Linked DNA regions of Bombyx mori. The protein of the gene in region 2 purifies or fractionates together with the protein of the main gene of each other region. This does not show direct contact. Links are inferred from orthologs where the notes say so. Each region holds a gene or a part of one and is shown on either strand. Other genes may lie near its edges. The genes, in order: U2 small nuclear ribonucleoprotein auxiliary factor 2 and serine/arginine-rich splicing factor 1A.

Region 1 (10,298 bases), on a different chromosome or scaffold from region 2:
GGTAACCGTTGGCCACATTGACATTTTGACAAAGAGCGATCGGATGAAAGCTACGCTCCTCGACCCGGCATACACTACCGATACACACCTGGGCAACCCGAGGGTATGAGTTATGGCGCCATTAACTAGATTGCCTAGAGGCAGAGCTGGGCAGTTTATTGTGAGAGTTGCTGATCATATCACCGGCGACTGTTGATCTGGCGTTCCGTGGTGCGGTTAAGCAATTTACGTGAGCTATCACAATTGTATCTCTGTATATGAATCGGATGCTCAGGTAGAAAAGCGACACAAGGATTATTTAATAGGTTCAACCATACCACAGCCCCAACATGTAGCGGATGATCCATCTATATATTCTAATTCGTTTTAGTGGTAAGCAGCGGCTTGACTGTTTCACCATCAGAATATCTATCTGGTGGACTGCGTGTTCATCTGCATACATGGGTAAAAAAAATACGCAACCAAAAAGGCGCGTCCTGTCTACCCATTTAAACAAAAGTATTCGGAGAACTCGATATAGAGACCATCGATTTAATGAAGTCAGATTTAAGTTTATTTAGTCATAATAATTGTGATCTGTCGAGCGATCTCTTATTAGCCTTGTTCAATTTGTACTAACGTAAGGGGCTCAGTAAAGAGGCACTTGTTATTTGTTTCTTTATCAGTTTATTTTTATAGATGGGAAAATGAGTTCACGGCTCAACTAGTGATAATTAGTTCTCGACACCCATAGATATCAATCAAATGAATCCATCCTGTAATATAAAGAAGAAGTCTCAATTATAAGTTATATGACGGCATACCGACTATAGACTAGACCTACCTTTCAAACCCGAACGCATTACTGCTTCGGTAAAAATAAGTAGGGCGGTGGAACCTACCCGAACGGGACACGAGACACCTTACTACCAGTTGCTACGCAAACTGAATTTTTTGTTGGGTTGTTTTTTATTGCACAATATTATTCCTTCATCGTTGTAGTCGTTCTTGAACACGTGCTATGTATTTCCTTAGATAAATTAACATTTGCCTGTGGGATTTGAACACCGGTATGGTGGTATCGTTTGATACGAATAAGTTAATCGGGCGGCTATGACGAATTCTTTACGTATTGTTCACTTTTGATTTTCTTTGCTATTTTAGTAAGTATACCTAGGTCTAAATCTAACAGTATGGACAAGTAAAAGTTTTTTGGATTCATGTATCAAATACGATCATTTTAAAGGTTTTATTATATTTATTTTATCACTGTAGTATTCTATCAATGAATATACAGAATAATTGAGTCACACAGGATTTCAGAAAGCTTCGTTTTATCTCACAAATGTGAGTAACCAAGTTATCTTATCTAAAGAGATAATAGCTCAACGCTAAAAATGTACATGTTTTTCTGTATTAGTTTATCATAGGTGTTGTTAGTGATTGTGTTTCTCTATTGAGTATTTGTGAAAGAAAAAAAATCAATAAAATGGCACAGAAGAAATCTGTTTTGTTTTACTTCGCTGTGATTTTAGGTACGTATCTAGAGTAAAATTTGTTGTAGTTAAGGACCTAAAGTGAAATGTGTTGCGGAGGGAACATTACTGCATTGTATTTTTTAACTTTTAAGAGTTTGAAAGGAGCTCTTTCCCTAATGTTATATGTGTACTCAACACCCAATTAAATATCTTAGCTTTGACGCCAGGTGACTTAAAAGAGTAATAGCAAATGTTACTTTTGCATCACTATAATATACACGTATCAAGTAGGTACTGTGTTGTTTATACTGCCAGTAACCTACTTAATAGATAAGGAAAAAGGTAGGTACTAAAATCAAGACTTATGAAGGTAATGTACTTAAGTAGTTTGATAATTTACGTATAGACACACATAGATAGATAGATATGTTTGGGAAGAAGAAATGTACCAACCTTTAGTTTGTTGGGGGTTATGACTATCAGTCTGATAAAGCGCATTGATTTTAATTTAATCGTCAGTCTGAATGAATGACATTAAAGGTACGGGGTACTTTACAAATAACGGCTAATCGTGAACATCACACACTTGAAATTAAGTAGGTACCTAGATGATTCAAGAAAAACGGAAACTTGTAGGTGACCATTTTGGTTTTCTATTTTTTTCTCCTACCTAAGCTGATGGTTTAGAGAGACCATATCAGCGTAGCCTGAACTAGTAGGTGAGCTCACGGGGCTCGAACCGGACGATGTTGCTAATACAAACCCTAGCAAGAGCTGTGCTTCGCAGAATCTACCACTAGATCGGAAACGCGACCCACTAAGAAGATCCGGCGAGAAACTCAGTGGGTTAATTTACTCGCCGAGCCCTTCGTCGCAAGCGACGGGTTCGATGAGAATGATGACCGGGGCATTTTGGTCGCGAGTGTATTGGCGAATTTTATTATTAATAGTTTTAGCGGAAAAAAACAAAAGTTAAGAATTTAACAAAAGGGTATGTTTGCCTTGCCAATATGTGCAATAATAAATTATTTTTTATTATTTTTAGTTATTTTGAGTACACTTACACAAGAGGTAGAAGCCAGAAGAAAAATTCTTAGAGGAAGACGTGTTATGACCCGCACTTACTACCGTAAGTTTATCTTCAATATCCTTGCCGGAAATCAGATAAATTCGTTAAATTCCGTAAGTTACCGTATCTTCTGATAGTAGGACGTTTCTGCGAACCTGCACGGTAAGTGCTACTAAGGTACCTACCTAGTTATGAGGTACCTAGCTATTATTTCCGAGAGGCAATTATATCAGTCCGGTTTTGACGGAACAGTCGTTCTACAATAAATTTCAACCTCATATCTTAAGGCAATATCAAGTCACCACTCAGTAACTGATCTGAGGAGGTGATCCGGTTAGCTCGTGCCTATCGAGACGAATAGAAAGTCTTATCTTCAGTAATTATCAAGCCAAAAAACTGGGCAATCGATGATGCCGATGGTATACACCTAATCAGTTATAGAGGTCGCTGAAAGATAGCGTAGCTATTGCGAAAAATACAAATACAAATGCTGTTTTGAATACCCGGGGAGTTTGCGCTCCGAAGACCGAAGTGTGAGCTGCGTTTGATGAACTCAAAAAGTGCAAAGCACCAGGCGCTTTTCACTTTGTCAGTGTCTTGAGCAAATAAGGAACACGACTAGCGAAAAGTTAACTAGATGGCTTCTTTTTGCTATACAAAGAAACCAACAAAACATACTATGCGTTTTATTCAAAACATGGGTCAACTTATATCAAGTAAGTTCATCTTGCGATCCACTATAGAACATCCTTTCTCATCTGCTAGTCATTTCTAGGTCAAAATGTATGAGATGATAACATTTGCCATTCACATATTAATTTCGATTGGTCAGTAGTAGTCACAAAACATTTTCGTCTTGACTTCGTATCAAACTATAGGGCGCTAACATGAAAATAAATTCACAAATTTCTTATATTTTAATTTATTTTATTTTTATAGAGATCGCGTGTTGTGTAGGTTGATTAAAATAATCAATCAACTTGCGTGCTCAAAATTCATTTTATTTTATTACAGGTGGCAATGCGGTTCCCGCGTGGGCAATTAGCTTGATGGCTGGAATTGGAATGTTGATCATCGGTGGCGTCTTATATGTAGTTATGAGGAAACTCGTTCTATCTTCGGAAACGGGTTCACTGAATACTTACCAACCTGCTATGCAGCAAGAAGTATAAAACTACAGTTTTTTTTTTTATAATGTACCTACGTTAAAACGATTCGAATTTGAAACTTTTTAATAAAAACACATGATTCGAGATAAATTTATTTATTCATAGCAGTTACAAACGCGCAATATACTTTTTAGTTAATACTTAACATGTCAGTTGTAGTGAATTGGTGACGAAAAGCATGATGCTCCAATTCACATGCATTTTGATAGATTTAATCTCTGTCGTTTGTTGAATGTGCTACTAGCATGTGTCATGTATAGGTCTTGTGAAAAAAAAAAAACTTTTATTTTCAACAAAACGTGACATTTTCAATTTATAGAACTTGTAAAATTAATTATCAGTCGTAATTGAGTAGATCACAATTAAATCTGTTCATTTGGTAGTTAAGAACTCACTTTTACAATGAATCGTTACAAGCATTTATTTTTAAATTTAATTTGTTCTTATATGTTTTTAATGTAAACTAATGAAAATTAAACTTCTTTCAAAAACAATGTTGAACATTTTCTTACACGCTAGTGCAACAGGACGAAGTTGAAGTGACGGTAAAAAAAATATATCTTTAAAACTCTCTGCGATGATATTTGTCAGGATCGAAGTAGGATGTGACGACGACTCTGTTACTGAACTTGCGTCCTGTGAGCGTCTGCTGCGCTTTCTGGCAATCTGCAATACTGTTGAACTCGACAAATACCTGATAAAAAAAACGTTTTTTAACAAAAAAAATGTGGATTTTATTCGTTTATTCCAGTCTTTTTATTTATTTATTGCTTTGATGGTTGGACGAGCTCACAGCCCACCTGGTGTTAAGTGGTTACTGGAGCCCATAGACATCTACAAAATAATTGCGCCACCCACCTTGAGATATAAGTTGTGAGGTCTCAGTATAGTTACGACGGCTGCCCCACCCTTCAAACCGAAACGCATTACTGCTTCACGGCAGAAATAGGCGGGGTGGTGGTACCTACCCGTGCGGACTCACAACAGGTCCTACCACCAGTAATAAATTCCATAGTCGTATATATGGACCTCTCTTATGTTGGTTTATTACAATGTGAATGTCACCACCTACCTTGAGATATGAGGTATCTATAACATTCAATTGTTTAGTGTATGTACTTAACGACTTTCCTACTAATTCCTAAATGAAAACTTCACGACAGAAATTTAAAGTGTGGCATGTTTATGATAATATGATATTTGAGTTTTGTAGAAATCATCTCATATTATTTCTTATAGCTACATTTATAGACTCGATTATTTCGTATAATTTTATTTTTATTATTTATCTCAGTTTAAAAATATGAGAATATTTTGATGAGCTTGTTATATCAATTTGTACAACTAATTTATTTTGACCTAAAAGTACATAGAAGCAGTAAGACATACTCAATTATGATTTCCAAACCATTAATTTTAAATATAAATATTTACCTTGCCGCATCCAGGTACTTCGACTCCTTCAATTGGTCTTGGAATTTCTATACTACGCACAACACCATATTTGTTGCATTCCTCCCTGAAATACCATATTTTTAGTGAGTCTCATATTCATTTTTTATAGCTAGGAATGTACAGTAATAATTACATTACTAATTCTTTTTTTGTTATTGATTTGATGGGTGGACGAGCCCACGGCCCACCTGACGTTAGGTGGATACCGGAGCCCATAGACAACAACAACGTTAACGCCGCCACACCCATTGAGACATGAGTTTTAAGTCTCAGTTTTTACAGTACAATGGCTGCCCTATTCTTTAAGTCGAAACGCATTACTACTTCACGGCAGAAATGGACAGTATTGTGGGACCTACCTAGGCAGGTAATCACACAAATTGGGATTTTTGCAGGTTTGATTTTATTACTCAATGTTATTTCTTCGCGAATTTTTGTTAAGGTACACAGGTAAAGGTTTTTTTTATTAAAAAAAAATTGATTGAGTATAAAAAAGAGTTCCATTAAAATTGTAAACTATAATTTTCAAAAAGAAAGAAGTCTATGAAAGAAATCATTTTTGTTGTTTCATTTATATGACTTGTACTTATGTTCCATGCAGTAACAATTAAAAAAAAGCTTAAATAAATGTGAATAGTTTATCAGGAAGTTATTCTTATTTCTATTTTATTTATTTATTTTTATTACATTATGAAGAATAATGTGTTATGAAAAACGAAATGCTTTATACACTGCTAAAACTAATATGAAATCTGAATTGTTACTTTACTTATTGGAACTGAGGTACCAATATGAAGATTTAATTTTATATTCTTGTTCTGATTTTGAACATTTTTAGATGAAGTTTAAGTGTGCATTTCATGTATTAGTGCTTGTGTGTGTGACATGTACAAAATGTTACTTACTTTATATCTTCAAGGATATCTTCATACTCCTCTTCATCACGCAATTCATCAGGTGTTACCATGTTAAGAAGGCACAATACTTCAGTAGGTGGACCTGCTCCAGCCAAGGTCAAACCTGCCACTTGGATTTGCACTGGAGCTGCACCGGTCAGTGCTGAAAAGTATCCCATTTCTATTTAAAATCTTTTATAATTTCTATTCTAAAACTAAAACATAGGTCATATTCTGTATTAAAATTTACCTAAAGTTGAATTCTTTGCGCCTATACTGGCACGTTGCACAATCAACTTTTTATCTCCAAGTTGCATTCCATTTAAACCTGCAATAGCCTGTGAAAATAAAATTAATTTATGATTTAAAGTTTTTTTAAAAATTAAATTGGCCTTAACTATGCAAAAGCCAATAAATTAATAAATTGGGTGACATAATGATTATTTACCTGATCTGTCATAGAAATGTCGACATATTCAGCAAAAGCATAGCCTTTGCTCAACCCAGTTGAAGAGTCTTTCACCAAATTGAAGGCCCGGAGTTGACCAAATGACATGAGTAATTCCTTTACCTGTTTCATGACAAAATTAGTGAGCAAATAATAATCTTTTAATTCCCAGCATTGTATTAATTTACGTTACATATTCATAATGATCAGCATAGACATTTCTAATGCTAATGTTTTTTGTATTGTATGTTTGAATTGTTGTGTTCCCATTAAATCTGTTCATCAAAATGCAGCAAATTACATAAGTGAATTATGCTATCTGACCTGTGTCTAGCCGCATGTTAGAATCAGATGTGAATGGAAGAGACTTGCCTTGAAGTGCCGATGTCTCGTTCAAGTACAAGACGTATAGATGAGAATGAGAGACAACAGTGACACGCGGGCCGCGAATGTGCCAAATCTAAGCTAGGGAGGGCAGAAAGCAAACTATATCAGTGAGTTGTTTGAGAACATCCGAGCGTGGTACGCACACGCTCGTCCACGCTACGGGTACCTGAAAATACCTGAAACGGACCAAAACATAACGCGGCTCACTGCTGGCGTCACCGGGGCCTAAGTCCTGTCAACTGTTGAATCTCGGCCTGAAATTGTTGCGGCATCTAGTACGCTATAACTACCTACTGGGAACGAACAAACTCATGGTTCTTTTAATGTCCTAACATTACCTAAAGTAGGATTTTGAAATAACTATTATAGTCCAAAATACTTGAATTTGTCGATCTAAGAGAATTCTATGTTTATCATAACCAACATAATTATTATTTCCATTTTGTCTGGTCAAAACCTGTAACACACAACTCTACAAATCACAATGAGAGAAGAATGTTGTATAATATAACCATTTTTTTATTATCAAAAGGTTTCTTTTAGTGGGAAACATAAATCAACCATAATTTATGTGAATTGAGTTTTCATTTGGTTTAAAAATAAAAACTTTTTGGTAAGTAGTACTTATAAATAATAGCTTAATTTGATCACATCAAAAATACAGAAAATAAGTACCTCTACTTTAATCCAAAAACCATGTGTAGCTTTAAAAAACTCCAAACTTGATTTTGATCATGATGTGATTAAATTATGGTTTCTTGAATGCTTAATTTCAACTATAAATTTTAATAGATAAAACAAGGAACTTACTTGGTCCTCATTTAGATAATTAGGCAATCCCCCTATAAAGATCTTGTGTGGGGAATCAGGTACAACAGTGCTAATAACACCAGCTGTAACAAAATAATATTTGAATGAAGACACTAGTAATGAGTATTTTAGTTGTAATTAATGCTGTTTCAAGAGTTTAAAAAGAGCTGTAGAATTATAACAACAAAATTCAGTTTATTTTAAATATTGCATTTTCTTAATAAAAAATAGCACTTTCAATCGAGTTCAAGACTCATTACTTGATAGATAAATCTATAGTATCTTCTAATGTAGTTTAAATGTATTTTTATAAGAAAAGTTGTTTGTAATAACAATATCACAATATCATAATTACTTACCAGGCACATTTATTGCTGGGTTTTCAGTGCCTGGCATAGGCTGGTAGTCATGTGGACGTCGAATCTTTAAGCTTTGCCCTTTAAAATTAATACCGTCAAAAGCCATTGCCTGTGTCGTTTCATCAATTGATCTGAATTCAAGGAATGCAAAATTTTTATCTAAATTAATCTGGCAAGCCAAAACAGGGTTGCCGGCGGCCTGGGCCAGGCCCGATAGATGCATTTGTTGATTGAAAAACTCCATTGTTTCTTCTTCGGTGACGCCAAAGGGTATGTTGCCGACATATAACCTTCGCGCTTGACGTGTTATAGTCGAACCCACCACCGGCACGGCAGCTTGTGGTGTGTCGGCGACAATATTGGCAGGAATCTGACCCGCCGCTTGCATCGCCTTGTATTGTAATGGCGTGATATGCTCGAATCCCGGCGGCGGTACATCCCAGTAAAGCGAAGGCTTACGTCTACGTGAACGTTTATTGGGCGATCTTGATCTGCTTTTTCTTTTTTCTCTTCGTTCTCTAGATCGAGATCTAGAACGTTTTCTTTCTCGGGATCGAGACCTTCGTCGGCGGTCTGTAATATTTGTGAGCATTTTATTTTATAACCTCACTTCAAAACTTTACAAGATAGATATGTGAACTACTTACCTTTATCTTCCCCCATCTTATTTACGGAAATATGTAATACAGTAACTATTTCTTGAGATAGTAATAAAGGCGCTTCAGCGTTATTAGTATAATTAGCGTTGGCATCAACATAAAATCTAAGTCAGTTTCCGTGAAATGGCGTCTGTTATTTTTTTATACGGACGTTGGTTACTCGACTTTTGGCTAATGATGCTATAGTGAATTTCCTGATACGTAATCATCACTAAAATCCTATGCTTGCCCTAGGACAAATTTCGGACGCGAACGCAGAACTGGTGTTTCCTCAAGTATAAATGTGTAATAATGATAGCTAATTAATCATTGATGTGCCTTTGGAAAACATACAGCATTGTATTATGAAGAAGCAGTGTGTACTTAGCTTAGATTCCTTGTCTATGTCCAACCATAGACAGTCAATTTAGTTCCATCTTTAGCCGCTAGGTGCTGCCAGCAAGTATAAAGGGAGCGCAGCCATCTTTGATCTTCATAGCGTTGTGTACTTTCGTACTGTGAAGTCGCAAGTCCACAAATATTTATTCGACTTCTTATTAATTGCAAAAAATATTTATTTTGTGTTTCTATGAGTGTTATTTTGCAATCATTACGAGTATTATTTACCAATCCTATCATCGGACGCCATGAATCACGCGTCATCTGTTGGAGGTGATGTTGAGTCAAGCTCCATAATTTCCGAGAGGGAAGATGTCCAGGCGAGACGCGATGGAGACGCCTCGCGTTCGAACAGCTCGTCAAGCGAAAAAGAACAAAAGGAGTCTCTGCGTAAGAAACGACGGGATTCAAAGGTAACGGTCGATCTTCGAATCGGCTCGTTATCCCACCAGGTCAGTGACGTTGTAAATCTAATAATGCATCAACTGTGTGTAACAATTGAATGTAACGAAAATTGTTGTAAACAAATTGATCTCGTCAATACGGAAATTTTGACAAAAACACAACAGATTTAAACTAATAATCTTTGTAACATAATTACTGAAAACTTTGACAAATCGTCTCCGTCGTACAAGTTACCCGTAAAAAGCGTTTTAAATTGTATACGGAAAAAAGGGCCGTATGTATAGAAATAAGACGTCAAAGTTTAATTTCCGTGGTCTCTAACAAAGTATCCTGTTGCCAACGCGCCACTCATTGAGGAATTTTTGTTTGATAATAGTAAATTGAAATCTATTCAGTCCCTCGGAGGGCTACAATCCTATTTGTCACGATCTCGTACAAAAGGTAAGCCAAACATTATAAACAATCATAGTCCGTAACATCTGGCACAATCCAGAGGGGGGCAATTGAAGACACCGACGGCACTGAGGCACTGAGTGCCACCAAAATTGTAATAATTTGTAAACCATGTATGGTTACCAAATACCGTAAAAAAAAAAAAAAAAACAACAAAAAAAAAAAAAAAAAAAAAAAAAAAACTACCTTTTTCTGCGGAAGAAAAGCGACGGATCAATGCGTCCAATTTTCGATCTTCGAGAGTTGAACAAGGTCGTAAAGATAAAACACCTGTTTTCGGACACCTAGGTACCAAACTTTCTCCACCCAGGGGACTGGATGATAGAATTGAACATTTCTCAGGAATATTTTTC
Region 2 (8,891 bases):
CCACGCACCATCCGGTTCTGGAATGAGCTCCCCTCTACGGTTTTTCTTGGGCGCTGGGTTCTGGTACTTCTTCAAACGAGGTTTGTGGAGACACAGCGGTAGGCAGCGGTTTGACAGGTCCTGGCATTACCGACACCTATAGACGACAATGACACTTATCGTCAGGTGGGCCAGACGCTCACCTGCCTAGCGCCTGCTGAGCGACAATGGCACCATCAGGTAGGCCTACGCCTGTGCAGTGCAGGTACAATAAAACTCCAATTAATTTCCAGTGATTTATTAAGTCCATCAAACTGTGGTTGGTCTTTGGAATGCAGATCCAATAACTAAATTACATTATAAACCAAAATAATCATTAAACCTATATATATGTAAGACCAGACAAAGGCATTATTACACAATTCCGTTGCCGTATCAATCATTCCGACCTCCCAGGCGTCCAACTCTCTCACGTCCGCAGCACAGAAGCGTGTGTCAGAGGGTCCGCCGCCGCCGACGGGGCGTCGAGGTGAAAGCAAATAAAGTGAGTGAAGGATTCAAACATCATGTAGGTCGGTACGTTCGCGTGCACTCAACATAACTTATTTTGGCAAGGAATCATAACGTCATACCCGGCGCGTCCAGCGGTCCTGATCCGTCCAGTGCGACACACAGGCCCCCGGTCGTGTCCTACAGCCCGCGACACTAACATCCGTGTTCCGATCCTGACTCACACCTCCAACGATCCCATCCAAGCACATCCAACGATCCAAAGTCGATGAAACAAAAGAAAATTACTTTAATTATACATGTCAAACCTTCTGTCTTATTATACATTACTACGGTGTCAGTGTCAACAACGCTGTGCCTCGTGGACTATTTTTTTTTATTTTACAATTTTAATAAAAAATCACCTTTACAATGAAATATTTAAAAGAGATATTAATATATGGATGGAATCGTGAAAGATTATATTGAAAATGTATAATGGTTTCCATCAGAGTGGTTCAGTCGCAAACTCGCGGGTGTTTGCTCTAATATCTAATACATTACAATTTTGAGACCATCACCAATTCATAAAATAAATTTTTAAAATTAAAACAGTCAACGAAACAAAGTATTGAAAGGCACGTTCAAAAGCAAAAATTCCTAAACAATAGTCTTTGTGAAATATATTTTTAAACAAGTCATGAGTTTCTACTGTGAAGTTTCAAAATCGTCAATGTCAATATTCTGATTATTGACACATTTTTTATAAAAAAATTGTATTGTTAACTCATCATCCAATTAGTAGAATTTAGAGAATGCTTTGGATAAAACTTGTTTTGAGATTTTAAAAAAACAAAAGCAAATTATAAATAAAGATTCAAAATTGTCTAACAAAACAAAAAATTGGAGGTTTTTGGATTTAAACAGAACAAACACCTTTGTGTGAATTAAAGACGATACAAATACACAACTAACTGTTGGTCAAATATAAAATTGCTTACAACTTTGGAAAATTGAAGTATCCCTTTAATTTTGTCCATATCCAATTTAGCATGAGTATTACATTTTCATTACTTAAAATTCATTTCATCCCTATGCATCTGAATCTATTATACTTTACATTTTCATAAATAAATTAAAAAATATTATGTCTCAAGTCTTGTTTGAACAAAAACATGGTCCTAAGGTTTGTAGCCTCACTGTACAAGTGAACTCGCGTAATATTAGCTCATACCCTACAGTTAGTTATCAATTCCCAATTTAATAATCATTGCACAATTTGTAGGACATTACAGTATGAAAAGCAGTACCGACGAAATTCATCTCAAAACAGTCTCCAAAGATACAGTGAGAGCTAACATGTAATTTTTGCATTTGAACGTGAATGTTTGTTTGTATACAAGTGGGAGGGCTTATGAACTACAAACAGCTGGGAGTCGCGGCGGCACCGGGGGCGATGACCTCTCGGCGCGTGTCACTGACCTCTACGGCTGCACACAAACACACAGAATTGTTCATCTTCTTCATTTTTTTAAATTTTAAATTTATTATGTTTTATTATTTTATTATGAACACCAGTAATTTATTATGCACATATGTTGGGTAACAAGTCAGTTCACTGTGTGTCTGTCTTTATACAACCCGCACTTAGCAATCCTTTTAAAGAGAAAAGTACCCTCACTAATACACAACAAAATCTATTTTTAATATCATTATCTATCTTTTATTTATAACAGTACATTATTGTCTTGAACAGTTTGTCGTAGTTATACTACTTTTGATGCACTGAAACGGTCTGGAGAATTCGCACATAATAGATAGTGTGACGTTAGTAGATAAAATTACATTAGAAGTGAAATTAGTACTAGAGAACTCAACAAAATTGTTAGATCTAAATTTATTTTCTGTTTTTTTTTTAGTTTTTTATTTTAGTTTTAGCATAAAAGTTATGTTTTGAGATTCCTTTTGTGTATATATCGCCATTTCCCATTTTGGGTTCCTAGAGTAATTGGCATAGTGGATTATTTTTAAAATCTGTTATAGTGGGATCTTGTCTGTCATAGGCTGTGAAAATATGTCGTTTTTTTTTAAATTCAGTATGTTTTTATGAACACAGCTACAATATAAAAACAATCATTTCAACTTGATGACATCATTAGATGATAGAACCACTTATTATTTAAAATGAAGTTCTGATAATCATTAAAGTCAGTTGCTTAGTTCACATTTGCTGTCCAGTAGATTTAAAAAACTACTTAATTATTAGGTAAATGTTCAATTTCAATGTCTCTAAATTATAGAAAACATTTGTACTTACCGATTGATTTTGACAAACCAACAATGTCGGTAAACATATGGTGTGCATTAATTGTAATCAAATGTTAATTGTGCTTAATGTTCATCTTTATAATGTTTACATTTTATGAAAATCTGTATCCTTAGGGTATCCCTGCACGGCCATGCTGACCAGATTATGATTCCTACTTTCGCTAGTTATCTATAAGACTAAATTTATCCAAGTCCATTAAGTTTTTATTAATAGAATGGTAGTTTTATCCACTGATAAATAATCCATGTTTCTAACAATGTATGAACATTATAGAGAACCTACCAAATGTGAACAGCAATGTTTAATTAGATATAATCTCATAAGAGTACAGTACCTTGTGGGAGTCAGTAGTTATGTGACCGCGAACGGGAGCGTGAGCGCGAGCGCGAGTAGGAGCGTCGCACCGGGGAGTAGGTTGGGGTGCCACGACGCCGCGGGGAGTATGACCGAGACCTTGTGAAGAATATATCACCTTAGAACAGGGGTGGGCAAAAGCCGGCCCGCGGGCCGGATCCGGCCCTTTTGCTAATTTTATCCGGCCCGTTGAAAAATTCCGCACATAAATTTTTTTAAACTCTTTTATGAGATTTTGCTGACATCAGCATTAAAAAAGCATATGCGGTAAAAAAGCATATGCGGTATAGTCCTCCGGCCCGGGAGACATTTTGAAAATTTCATTTTGGCCCGCGCTTTAAAGTATTTGCCCACCCCTGCCTTAGAAGTAATTAACATCTTCTTAGCAAAGACAGTTTTAATAGTACTAAGTTATCCAACACAATTGTTAATGTCCAAAGGTGGGCTGAGATAACAAAATCGATATATATAAAAATGAATTGCTGTTTGTTAGTCTCGCTAAAACTCGAGAACGGTTGGACCGATTTGGCTAATTTTGGTCTTGAATTATTTGTGGAAGTCCAGACGTTTAAAAGGTAAAATAAAATTTTGTTTTTCCTTTGATGTGTCCCCCGTTGGACGGATTCCTTTTGTTTGTTTTAAGTTTATTTTATACAATAGTTAGGTCTTTTATTTATCGATTGAGGCACTACGAAGTCTGCCGGGTCAGCTAGTTTAATCAATATATTTGGCCAATTAAATGATATAGTAGTCAGTTAATGTAGTAATGGTATGTAGTGGTACCTGTCACCGCCGCCGCCACCACCGCCACCGCCGCCACCGCCATAGTCTTCCTTCACACGTATATATGTCACCTCACCCTGGAAATGAATATTTAATAGACGTCTAAATCTTGCACTACATGACACTGCTTGCTTTTTAAATTTCTTGAGTTGATTGTAAAACGCTTTTACAGTGTAATATAGCTTTCTTTTCATTCATTTTATAATCTTCATCATCTATGACCATAAGGTCTGTAATATCAAGATTAAGAAAGTATGGTTCAAATTTGATCCATGGTTCAAATTTCTTTTGTAATATCAATATGAAAGCAAACTCAGTTTACTTAAGCTGAGATGATGTTTTGTTGCCTCACATCTCATTTTACATTCCATTTGTTCTTTTCAATCTCATATCAGTTTTTCTCAAACTGAAATTACTTTACCATAATTGACAAGTGAATTGTTTTTTAAAAAAAATATTTAACTGTATGTTGAAAGGACAATCTCATTTTTTATAATTCAGTAAACAAATTGGTAACAAGTATGGGCAGAAAAAAACATTGAAAAAAAAAAAAAAAAAAACTGGTATTGCAAATAATCAGAAAAAGGAGACAGCTTAGTCCAACCTAGCTAAAGAATTCAAAAGTTTGTTTTGCTTACTTTATTTACTTGAGTTTTACAGAATGCAATTTTGGACATTATAGATATCTACTGAGTTTGACACAAAATAACAGTTGTTGATTTTGAGCAGCTATTTGTAAATGAACAGTTTAAGCACTATCCCATGGTTTAATTTCTCCTTCATGAGCCTTAAACTTCTAACTAATTCAAATTAAACTATAAAAGTATTTGACACAATTGATTATCTTGAAACTTTTATGTCCACGTTGGGTAACAATGATAAAAAATTTGGGACAATCCACCAACAGTACTGTTCTTTCACATTACAGGTTATGTTTATAATTATTTTCAAATAAAGTGGAAGAAACTAACCTCATGACTCCTAAATCTAGAATCATCTAACTTTTTAACAGCATACTTCATATCTTCATGCCTCAAAAATTCCACAACACCAGATCCATCTTTAAAGGTGTCTGCAAAGCATACGTCGCCGGCCTCTCGCATATGGTCTTTGAGGTCCTGCCAGGAACCCGAGGGCGGTAAGCCGGTAACGAGCACGCGGTATTCAGAGCGTCGAGCGGGCGGACCACGTGCTGCCCCTCGTCCACCCCAACGGTCACCACCGCCTCGAGAACCACGAGAGCCTCCACCTCCACCTCCACGAGGGAACTCGACTCGAAGACGGTACCCATCATAGTCGTAACCATCCCTGGCTCTTACTGCATCATCTGCATCTCTGAATTCCAAAATAGATTTTATTAAAATAACTTGTCTCAGATTAATTTAGGTAGATATGACTGTATATTCTACTAGGAGTGAAACAAGGCAGGCTCTGAGCTGTGCACCTGGTATTCTTGACGTTCATTAGTGACAGTAACAACTCACCATGAAGTGGACATATCTAATAAAAGAACCAATCACACACAGTTTTGACATCACTCATTGTGTAATTTTAATTTAATATGTTGTGTGTTTATATGTGTGTTATAATTTTATATAATTGGCAATAATCAGCAAATTTTATTGATTTTAATTTTTCTGAAATAATTAGAAATCATAGGTGAATATTATTAGATTTATGGATACAGGTGCTCTGGCAGACTATTAAATCTGTGCCACCCTTCATATATTTTAATATGTGCCAACTTTTAAACTAATTAGTTGTCAATTAATCATAAAATAATAAATGATTAATTGTTAATTTAAAGTCCCATTTTCATTTATCAGTAAAAATGTTTACTTAATCTGTATCTGTATCTGTGGTGTGGAAAATTATATTAACGCTGAATAAAATTGTTCATTTCGCTATAGTCGGGTACAGATAGCGGTGTATGCGGCATAACGTATGCGCTCTTTTAAATCTTCTTCAAAGGCAGCTGAACATTCCGTCCACCTGACACGGGATGATTATCGCTACTCAGACATGGACAACGTTAGTAATATAGATAGCCCGTTTCTCTTTTCGAATTCAACACTCACCTGGGATCCTCAAATTCCACGAACGCGAATGGCGGACCTTTTCTGTTCTTTAGGTCAACGAACGTTACTTTTCCGAACTTGTAAAACAAGTCTTGAATATCCTTTGTCCTTATGTCCGGTGGTAAGTTTCCAACATATATACGACACTCATTTCTGTTGCTACTGCTTCCACCCGACATTATAGCTAAAGAATATTACTATTGCTTAAACGTTTACTTATTATTATGTTGGCTTCATCGACTAATTTCACCAATCCGACGCTTTACTGTGTGTAATTGAAAGTCGGGCAATATGGCGTCAAATGTCAATGTTCCGATTTTGGATCACGGTGGATTTGACAGAAAAGAAAACGATAATCATGAAAACGGAAGTGGAAAAACCTGGTCATAGATTATAAATATGTGGCTGTATAATTTTTACAAAAGTCCGTGTGAAAGGATTTATACAAAGATGTGTATGTAGTCGTCCGGCACATTTTAAAACTAAACACCATAAAATTGAATAATTAATCTGAAATGTAGTTTGCTTTTGGTGATATCAGGATCAGGACACTTATCATTCTTTCCTGCTTGTCCGGAAGTTTCTGTGTCGAAATCAGTACCTATAGCGTGTTTTATAGGTCTTTCTAATTTCGAGCCCGCTGCCCTTCACTTTTGTTAAATGGAAATTAATATATAGGCTGATCAATATTGGCAGTTTCGAGTTATGTTAGTAACATTAAAGTATGGGTTTTCCCATATAAAATCAGGTAGGAACTTACTAGAGAACTTGTACTTGAACTTGTGCTTAAGGTGTCATCTTCTTGAATGGATTAAATAAAATAAAATAAAATAAATAATACAATAAGGCTATGCGTCATGATAATCGCCTTATTGGTGCCACCGTTGATTACTCCTCGAATTCTAATCATGCAGGAGCCAGTCACCGTTGATGCCCTAGACACGTCCTTACGGATCCATCAGATCCAATAACCTTTGCATTAGAAGCCTTCAGCTCTAACACTAGTAGCAGGCTCAGGGACCCCGGTAACCGTACTCATAGAACTCGACAAAGAGTTCGACGTGCAACCTAATCTATGTATCAGCCCGCTGAGTTTCTCGTCGGATCAGCTGTCAAAGCAGCTACTCTTGAGTTGATAAGTCTCCTTCGGAGGCGCTCGGGCAGCTGTTAAGTAATCCCACCCCTCCTGGCTGCGCTTTTGCTCACCTAACTGTCCTGGTGAAATTAGTGTAGGGGAAGCTTAACGACCGAGGGAAGATCTTCCATCGAGCTGGTGATATTGCTCGGTAGACCGACGGTCCGAATGCTGTTGTTCGGAACTTGTATATATGCGCTTTAACTTGAAAATGTCGTAAGCGAGATTCAGACATCTGTCAATTATCTTGCGTTGTATGATGGCTACCCGCCACATCACTCCCCTCCGAGACTGGAGGTCGTGTCATTTTTAGTTAGCGTTGTCCATGCTGAGATTAGCTTGCAAGGGCCAGTGCTGCTCGAAGCCTGCGGTGAGTCGAGGCTGAGCTTGAATTGCTGCGTGATTGTCGCTAGTGCTGCTCGTAGTCTGCGGTGAGTCGAGACTGAGCTTGAATGCTGCGTGATGAGGCAGTGTAGGTGCGTGCCGTAGGAGCAGGAAGCGCGGTGAGTCAGCTGCGATGGTCCTATCGAGGCTGCGATGCTGGCTTGCTGTGGGACTACTGTCGATGACTTGCTTTTATCTGCGAGAATTGTGGTAGCCGAAGTTCTTGATGCGCTGATGATGAAGTGTGAAGGCTGCAATGGTTTCGTCGCAGGTCACCAGTTTGTAGAGATATACGACAAAGGGGAGATCTTCCACCGAGCGGGTGATATTTGCTCGGTAGACCGACGGTCCTAATGTTGTTGTTTGGAACTTTTATATATGCGCTTTATTTTGAAAATGTCGTAAGCGAGATTCAGGCATCTGTCAATTATCTTGCGTTGTATGATGGCTACCCGCCACACTAGAAAGGCCTCAGGGCCACCAGTAATCCTTCAATCACAAAAAAGCTTAATGTTGAGGATACTTAGCATTAATAAGAATACTTAGCATTGATAAGAATACTTAATATGGAGTCATGTAGAGGAAGTCCAAGCACGCGTCCGAAATCTGCCGGCTTACCAATATACACAAGCAAATGCGAACAACTTATACTAGTTTATTTTATTCATTGGAAAGGCAATAGAAACGAAGCCTTAAAAGCTATTTATATACGATGAGACCAATGAAAAGCGTTTGTAAATTTCGACACTCTTTTTGGCAGGAACTATTTTGTTTTGTAATTTAGTGTTTCTTCAGGTTTAATCGTGTAATAGTGGTGGCTTATTAACCATTTAGCATCTGTCCAAGTGCATATGTAAGAGAAAATTAAAAAAAAAAGCTGCTGAACCTGGCTTTTACAAAGGTAATATAAGAAAGCTCACTGTGGTTTGAGTAAATAAGTACCATTTCACGGAGCTATTATTTCATCCCAGTTCATCTCATTTCGTTTAAAATCTATATCGAGTTCAGTCTCAAATAGATCAACTTCATTTCATTTCACTGCATAAACAATTCCTCATGATTCAGCGAAGCACTGCTCTTGCCATAGCAGATATTAGTAAACCGTTTTAGGTTGCTCCCTGGAACCACTGTCCTAACGTGCTGGCTCTAGATTTTACGATGGTATATATTACACTACTATTCGAACATTCGATTTTCTAAATTAGTAGTAGTATCCTTGACAAAAACCTCGTTTTGTTGAAGATCTTCTTGTAACTGTACTAAAGAATAAAATATTCAAGTTTAAACACGAGCATTGTAGGCAGTATTTTTCACTGTTTTAATTAGCCAGTAATTTAATTATTGTTTTTAGGGAAAATTA

What was found.
Region 1: the proteins of serine/arginine-rich splicing factor 1A (region 2) and U2 small nuclear ribonucleoprotein auxiliary factor 2 purify together in Homo sapiens (affinity purification with mass spectrometry; 4 studies listed by BioGRID and IntAct, counting the BioPlex papers as one, with this or other methods). This does not show direct contact. The link is inferred for Bombyx mori from reciprocal best matches to the Homo sapiens genes SRSF1 and U2AF2.

Annotation. Positions count from the first base shown.
Region 1 is NC_085123.1:10,727,511-10,737,808, reverse strand, and holds U2 small nuclear ribonucleoprotein auxiliary factor 2, read right to left. Parts: upstream 8,839-10,298; 5' UTR 8,714-8,838; coding exon 8,698-8,713; intron 8,624-8,697; coding exon 8,051-8,623; intron 7,775-8,050; coding exon 7,692-7,774; intron 6,618-7,691; coding exon 6,495-6,617; intron 6,385-6,494; coding exon 6,297-6,384; intron 6,210-6,296; coding exon 6,056-6,209; intron 5,215-6,055; coding exon 5,130-5,214; intron 4,390-5,129; coding exon 4,258-4,389; 3' UTR 3,543-4,257; exon of another isoform or gene 3,541-3,542; intron 2,589-3,540; 3' UTR 2,497-2,588; intron 1,515-2,496; exon of another isoform or gene 1,509-1,514; 3' UTR 1,364-1,508; downstream 1-1,363. UniProt on the Homo sapiens protein: Plays a role in pre-mRNA splicing and 3'-end processing. By recruiting PRPF19 and the PRP19C/Prp19 complex/NTC/Nineteen complex to the RNA polymerase II C-terminal domain (CTD), and thereby pre-mRNA, may couple transcription to splicing.
Region 2 is NC_085122.1:426,291-435,181, forward strand, and holds serine/arginine-rich splicing factor 1A, read right to left. Parts: upstream 6,411-8,891; 5' UTR 6,192-6,410; coding exon 6,013-6,191; intron 5,270-6,012; coding exon 4,906-5,269; intron 4,012-4,905; coding exon 3,935-4,011; intron 3,251-3,934; coding exon 3,142-3,250; 3' UTR 3,132-3,141; intron 1,959-3,131; 3' UTR 262-1,958; downstream 1-261. UniProt on the Homo sapiens protein: Plays a role in preventing exon skipping, ensuring the accuracy of splicing and regulating alternative splicing.